2 linked regions of the Rattus norvegicus genome follow. The protein of the gene in region 1 purifies or fractionates together with the protein of each later gene. This does not show direct contact. Links are inferred from orthologs where the notes say so. Each region holds a gene or a part of one and is shown in the gene's direction. Other genes may lie near its edges. The genes, in order: Topbp1 and Cdc45.

The links.
Region 2: the proteins of Topbp1 (region 1) and Cdc45 purify together in Homo sapiens (affinity purification with western blotting; 3 studies listed by BioGRID and IntAct, with this or other methods). This does not show direct contact. The link is inferred for Rattus norvegicus from reciprocal best matches to the Homo sapiens genes TOPBP1 and CDC45.

The regions. Positions count from the first base shown.
Region 1 is NC_086026.1:112,794,094-112,797,908, forward strand, and holds part of Topbp1 (DNA topoisomerase 2-binding protein 1), read left to right. Parts: coding exon 1-93; intron 94-1,630; coding exon of another isoform or gene 1,631-1,707; exon of another isoform or gene 1,708-1,717; intron 1,718-2,160; coding exon 2,161-2,353; intron 2,354-3,815. UniProt on the Homo sapiens protein: Scaffold protein that acts as a key protein-protein adapter in DNA replication and DNA repair. Composed of multiple BRCT domains, which specifically recognize and bind phosphorylated proteins, bringing proteins together into functional combinations.
Region 2 is NC_086029.1:95,693,023-95,696,837, forward strand, and holds part of Cdc45 (cell division control protein 45 homolog), read left to right. Parts: intron 1-1,175; coding exon 1,176-1,331; intron 1,332-3,210; coding exon 3,211-3,266; intron 3,267-3,815. UniProt on the Homo sapiens protein: Required for initiation of chromosomal DNA replication. Core component of CDC45-MCM-GINS (CMG) helicase, the molecular machine that unwinds template DNA during replication, and around which the replisome is built.

The DNA.
Region 1 (3,815 bases):
TGTCTGTAGAAGAAAATGCAACAGAGACTTTGGGCACACACAGCAGAGAGTCCGCTCTGCTGAATGGGAATGGAAGGGACGACTGCAAAGGAGGTGAGAGGCACTTGTTTACCCCTCATGCCCATGCCACGCCCTCCAAAGACAAGGCTTCTCTGAGTGCTTCTGGAGCTGACTCTAGACCAGGCTGGCTTCAAACCCAGAGATCACCGTCCTCTTTCTTCCAAGTGCTGGATTAAAGACCTGCACCACAAGCCAAACGCACTTTCCACTTGTTGGTTTTGACTTGAAGTCCCACGTGCATTTTGCCGCTAATAGAAGAACTGGGTTGGCCGTCTAGCTTTGAAGCCAGACACCGACTTCTCCAATAGCCCTGGAGAGGCATCTTCTTCCGGTCTGAGTCATCTGCTTAGGGCAGTCAGTTGCAGCCTCGTGTCCATGAGAAGCTGTGTGCTCGCTGGAGTAGCACTGTGAATTTCTTCTGAGAATTTTCTCTTTGCATTCACAGCTTGACTGTTCAGCATAAGAGGCATAGCCTTTGACCTAACTTGGCTTTCATACATCCCTTTTTCACTCACCTTGGTCATTTAGAGCTAAAGAGAGGAGTGTGACTCTTTTCGCCTGGCACTTAAGCCACTGGATGTTAATTAAGCTAGTTTTAGTACTGTTGTTTCTTGGGGGTTGAGGAAGTCGTAGGAAGGAAAGAGATGGGGAGCAGCCAGTCAGGTGTGCCACTTGTGTAGGTGTGGGGCACACAGTAGCAACATCAGTGGTCACTGGCTACAGGCGACCGACCAACAGAATCATTTGGAAGACTTGGACAGTTGTTAATACATGGTTCACAGCCTTTTCTTTTCTTTTCTTTTTTTTTCTAAAAAAGAGCAATGTTTCAGTGTTTTCTGTTGCTGTAGAACTACACCTGGGGTAACCTAGATAAAGGGTACGTTTTTAGCTCTAACAGCTTTAGAAAATGAAAGTCTAAGCTTGCTTGGACTCTGATGAAGACCTTCTGGTATGTCAGGAGAGTTTATCAGGAAGGGAAAGAGTGCAAGTGGGTGAGTGTCATCACAAGAAAGACTGCAAGCAGGGTAGACCAGCGGAGCAACCTACAACAAAACCAGCCTGAGGCCCCTGAAAACTGCACTAATTGCTTCTGGGGCAGGCAGTGTTCCTCATGACCCAGCTACCTTAGGCTAGGCCTCATCTCTTAGGAGTTGACAGCACTCCACACACAGGAGGGTGTGCACCGAAGCCATAGACCATGTCTGGGAATCGGGAGCTGCTTCAGTCTTGGGTTTTGTTTGGTGGTTTAGTGTGTGGCTTGTGCTTTATTTTGCTGTTTCTTGCATTAGCAAGTTATTTTGAATTTCTTACTAATACAGATAGCGCTGCACTGATTACCTTATTTAGATGTGTGGGTTCTCTTCTGACAGGTTACTCTCTGGCTTCCTTATTCAGCCTGCCTATTAGAACTTGCTTTCTCACTTACCTGTTCCATTCTGTTCGTGTCAAACATTCCTACTTGGTATCTACTTGAATGTCTAGTCTGTAGTGGAAAGGAAAGACAAAGAGGGATTAGTGAAAGCTTGGGCAGTGCTTTACAGCACTAATCCTATTCTTGATGCTGAGGCAGGAGGAGCCGGCCTTCAAGACCAGTCTGAGCTATGGCAAGACCCATCCCCCAAAGCAAATAAACCTCAGAGCTATTGAAAAAAATCAGGTACATACAAATGACTATATGACTCTTTGTAGTATGCATCAATGAGAAGGGATCAGAAGCAAGCAGGGCACTACTCAGAGGGACTGAGCCAAGGCAGTCTTCAGTATTTCAGATACAGTCCTCAGGATTGCCTTTGTGTTTTGTGACATTTTAGCCTTGCATTCCTATATAAATATTCAGTAAATGGCAACTTTGTTTTTATTTAACCAGATCTAGACAAAATAGTTAAGATATGATTGACAAGAGACGTTTGTAACTGTATGGTAATGCATGTCTGAAATCCCAGAACTCTAGAGACTGTGGCAGGGATCACAATGGGGAGGGAGATCAGCCTAACCCCACACTCAGATCCTATCTTCAAAATCCAGCCAGGGGGAGGGAGAAGAAGGAGAGGAGGGGACACACTTCTCTTGATTGTTATTGACGACTGACTGTCTTTCAAGCTCTGACCCAGGCCTTGGAGATGAGAGAGAACTTCCAGAAACAACTACAAGAGATCATGTCAGCAACCTCCATCGTGAGGACACCAGCCCAGAAGACTTGCATGTCAAGAAGTAGTTGTAACAGCGCCTCTTCAACTCCTGACAGCACTCGCTCTGCTCGGAGTGGACGAAGCCGAGTCTTGGAGGCGCTCAGGTTCGTGTGGTGGCGGCTCACTTGGATGAAAACCCCTGGTGACTTGGGGTTCGGGTTAGGCTTTTTTTCCCCTCAGGCTGGCCTTGAACTCAGAGATCTATCCGCCTCTGCCTCCCAAGTGCTAGGACTGAAAGGTTTGTACCACCACACAGGACTTTAATTTTTATTTTTTTATTTTAAAATGAAGCAGAAGTTGGACTATTAAGGAGTTTATGCCGGTGCTTTATTTAACTACGCAGCGTGCTTTATCCCGCTGCCTTCTGGGTTTGTGTGTTGCTGCTCAGTTGTCTTCTGTGTTCTCTCTCGCTTAGGCCACTGCGCAGTTCTGACTGAAGTATGTGACTTAGGATTATCGTGTGTTTGAGTGTGTGCTGTGTGCTCATGGAGACATGCATGCCACAGTACCCATGTCAAGGTCAAAGGATGACCTGTGATGTCAGCTCCTTTCACCCCTAGCGGCTCCTAGGGATTGGACATATGAACCTAGGTCTCCAGCCGTCCTTTCCTTCCTTTTTATTTCTTATTTAAATTGTATGTACTTTTTAAAATCTGTGTTTTAGGAAAGATGACCACAGTTCTGAGTGCAGTATAACTTCAGCTCGGAGATATAACTGTATTTTCTCTGTCTTTATATTTTTGAGGCAAGGTTTTATCGTAGTCTGGCCTGCAATACTGTGTAACTAGTGTTAGCTCTAAACTCCCAGTTCTCCTGCTTTAACCTGCCAACTGCTGGAATTAGACCACCCCTCCCCCTCTGGACCACCTTTCACCCTCGTTCTGTATTGCTGTGTAGCCAAAGTGGGCTTTAAACTTGGTGTCTTTTATGTCAGTTTACCAAGTGTTGGATCCACCAATAGCATTTTCCTACTAGAAGACAGATCTCTAACTGTACGGTAGAGTTCTGGTGCCTGCTGACTTCATTTGTCTTACTCTGTGTTTTCCTTGAGGTAATGTTGAATTCTGAGAAAAGTGGCTTTTCCCTAACAGAGCAGGTTGTGTTTTAGATTATAGAATCTTACTCCGTGCCAAGTCATTTGCGACTAAAAGGCTCTCTTGGTTAGTTGGTTTGTTTTTAAGACAAGGTCTCACTGTGTAGCTCCACAAGGAGGAAGAAGAGAGCTAGCTCCTGTTAACCTCCACATAAACTCACTGTGTCACATATGTACACACACACACACACACACACACACACACAAATAAATGTAAAAATATTTTAAATATTTTTAAGGGACTAGAGAGAGTATAGTTAAAGAATGCTTGCTCCTCTCTAAAGGATCCAAGTTTAGTTCCCAGCACACACATGCTCATAACTGCCTGTGACTACAGATCAAGGGGATGACCTTGACCTGTAGCAATTCTTTCTGGGCTCCTTGGGCACCCGTGTCTGAACACATAAACAAGTAAAATACTTGAAAATATTTTTAATGCATTCATAATTAAATAATTCAGTAAGTAGTCTATC
Region 2 (3,815 bases), on another chromosome or scaffold:
ACCTCAAAGCATTAATACAAAATGTGGCACAGACCAGCTGTTTAAGCCTTCTGTGATCTGCTCTTTCCACAAGGCTTCAGACTCTGAGATCCTCAAAGAAGGATCTCTTCAAAAGAAATCAGTCAGCAATTGCTATTAGAGACGAAAATTGTATTGTCTTAGGGGTCTTGATCCATTTGTGTCTCTATAAGAAAATATCCGAGACTGGGTACCTTATAGATAAAAGTTATATTCAAGAACATGGTGCAAACATCTGCTCTACTCAGTAAGACCCCTGTAGTGAGTGGTTTCCCCATAGAGGAAGTGTATAGGATAGTGAGGAAATTTCCATGGGAAGACAGGAACATCAGAGCAAGCCAATGAAGTTTTATAGCCGGGTGGCACAAGGAAGAAGCTCGACACACTTCTGAGAGATGCTGTTATTCCATCAGTAAGGAGAGAGCCCTGATGACCTAACACTTGCCAGGCTCCACTTCTTAATGGTTCTACCCCCTCAATACCCTACACAGGCAGCAAGCTTCAGGTGTGGTGGACCATTTGGGGGATAAACCATTATGACATCCAACCAGAACAACACATTCATATTCTCTATCAAAAGCCAACTGGTAGAACTTTTTCTTTTTTTTAATGTATAGCATAAGAAAGAAATGTTGGGGGGGGGGCAGAGAGATGACTCAGTGAACCTGGGTTCAATTCCTAGTACCCACATGGCAGCTTCTAACTGTCTATAACCCCAGTTCCATGGGATCTGACACCCTCATGATTTAATAATGCCATGCGGGACAGCTCTCGTGCCTTACTGGACTGTGCGAAGCAGCCTGAGCTCTGCTGTCGTGTGCACGGGAAACTTGGGAGCAGCTGGTTAAGAAAAAGTGAGATTCTACAGAACCAATATGATGAATGGTTTTCTGGAAAGGAGAGAAGAAAAACTGCATTGGTTTTTTTTTTTTTTTGTTTTAAGATTTATTTATTTATTATATATAAGTACACTGTAGCTGTCTTCAGATAAATCAGAAGAGGGCATCGGATCTCTTTACAGATGGTTGTGAGCCACCATGTGGTTGCTGGGAATTGAACTCATGACCTCTGGAAGAGCAGTCGGGTGCTCTTAACCGCTGAGCCATCTCTCCAGCCCCTGCATTGGTTTTTTTGTTTGTTTGTTTGTTTTATAATAGATCAAATTGCTTATTAAACAAGAGGATGACCTCGAAGTTCCTGCCTATGATGACATCTTTAGAGATGAAGCAGAGGATGAAGAAGATCTTTCAGAAAATGACGATGGTGGGGCAGAGCCTTCAGAGAAGCGCTTACGGTTAGAAGGGTTAGAAGAGGTGAGTGGGTCAGGTGGGTATCCTGAAGGAAGCAAAAGTAGGACAGGTGTGTGACAGCCAGCTGTGGCATTCCAGGTGTGTGTGAGCCAGCTGTGGCATTCCAGGTGTGTGTGAGCCAGCTGTGGCATTCCAGGTGTGTGTGAGCCAGCTGTGGCATTCCAGGCCTGTGCTCAACTGGGCACGCCAAGCAGAGGGAAATGGAGGAGTTAGTGCACATTAGAACAGACTCTGGCTTCTACCCACTAGCATTGTGGCCTCTGGAGTTTTCTGGAGTTATTTGAACTATGGTTTATCTCCACAGGAGGATCCTGGCAAAGGGAATGAAATTTAGGTCAGTTTAGCTCGATGTAAGATTAACTAGCAAATGTTCAAAAAAGAAAAACTCATCTGGTGGCACACGCCTTCGATCCCAGCACTCTAGAGGGAGAGGCAGGCAGACTTCTGAGTTCAAGGCCAGTTTGGTCTACAGATCACTAATCCCAGGACAGCCAGGGGTACACAGAGAAACCCTGTGGCAGTGGGAGCAGGCAGGGGCAGACCCACCATGGAGAAACATTAAACCTCCACTTTCCCACAGTATCGCTCATTGTAGTTAACAGAAAGGTACCATGTGTGGCTGATCCCTTGGCCAGTCCTACAGAAACACTGTAAGGAAGGCGTGTGTGTGTGTGTGTGTGTGTGTGTGATCTGAATTTGATCAATAGAAGGGATCTGCCCAACATGAGCTTCTGCTAGCACAAGGGAGGCAGGCGGGTAGATGGTGGCTGTCCTCTAGTGGGGCTGTATTCTTACCTGTTATTGCTACTCTTTTATTTGCTTTAGTGCTCACAGGTTTGAGTCTATTCTGTGTGAGCTTCCTTTAACTTTTTATGGGGATTTTTGGTTTTGGTTCGTTTGTTCTTTTTGAGACAGGGTCTCACTGTGTAGCTCTGGCCAGACTGATATGGCAGCTTTGGTTGGGGACTTTGTTCTCCTTCTGTTGGTTTATCCCGATTGGCAGCTTCTTGGGTTTCAAGTCTAGGTAAGCCAAGAAAGGAACGCAGGCTATATACAGGTCTTTAACTGTTGTGCCTTTGCTCTTAGCGTTTGCAATATTGCTTAGCTTCATATATGTAAGAGTCGCAGTATGTCCAGCCAACATTGGGATATCTTAGCACCATCTTCCTGAAGGAAGTCTTGTGGTCATAGACTGTAGAATCACCACAGCACCCATGCCTTTGTACCTAAGAAGTTAAAACCATTGCTGGCACACCCAAGAGGAAGAAACACAGCTCTTGTTTTCCTGGTGGCAGACAGGGACTTTAGATGCTAGATGGGCAAAGTGGCCAGACGCTGGGCGTACAAGGAGCACATGCCAGGAAAGCCTGTGCTCCTCTCTATCTGGGTGGTGTCCGCCAAGTTCTGGAGCCAGATGAACCAGTCTTCCCCTGCCTCAGCTATTCAGCTTCCCAGGTACAGGCTGAACTTGGAGAATAGACAAAGCCTACATTCTCCCTCAGAGATCTGTGCCTAGGGGCTTCTTCCAAACCAGCCCTTCGCCAGGCTTACCCTTTTTGTCTTAGATTCTTTTCTATTGTGACAAAACAGCGCGACAAAGACAACTTATAAAAGAAAACATTTAATTTAGAGCTCGTGGCAGGGAGCACGAAGGACAGCGGGTAGACATAGCCCTGGCACAATAGCTAAGAGCTTACTACCCCCTTAACTGTAAGTAGGAAGCAGACGGAGCTTCAGAAACCTCCAAGCCCACCCCCAGTGACACACCTCCTAATCCTTCCCAAATAGTTCATCAACTGGGAGCCAAGTACTCAGACACTTGAGCACACGGAGGCCATCCTCACTAACCACCACGCTTTTCTTCCGTTTGTCACTGTTTCAGGAGATAGTGGAGCGAAACAGGAAGAGGAGGCAGCGCAGGGAGTGGGAGGCCCGGAGGTGAGTCTGGTGAGGTGGCTCTGTGGTACAGGAGCCCAGACTTTGTCCATCAGCGTCTTACCCATAATCCTTTCTGAATGCCACAGTCCCGTAGCTAGGAGTCTTGGGGTCAGCCACTTTGCAGAGAGTGCGTGGCTGTTGCCTCGAAGACCGTCTTGAATCACCCCATGTATTGGTCCTTGGCTTCCTAGAACTATAGGACAGGCCCAGTAGTCACCCAAATCCAGGCTCTTCCGTTAGAACGAGGCCTTTACCAGACTTGCTTTTCAAATGTGGATGCTTTCATTTATAATCTTCTTTAAAGTAAAATAACAGATACCTGGTGATTGCATAAAACTTTTCATGGAAAGAAATATGAAAAGTAATTAAGTTATCCATAATTCCTACTACTGCGTGTGCAAAAAAAAACCATGAGGTGCTTTGAAATGAAAATGCTAGAGTGGTTGTTCTCGCTTGAAATACACAGGTAGCTGTGTGTTTGAAACTGGACACAGTAGGAGTTGCTTGCTAACGGTCTTTGTGGTCCAGCTGAAGGATTTGCCCACCATG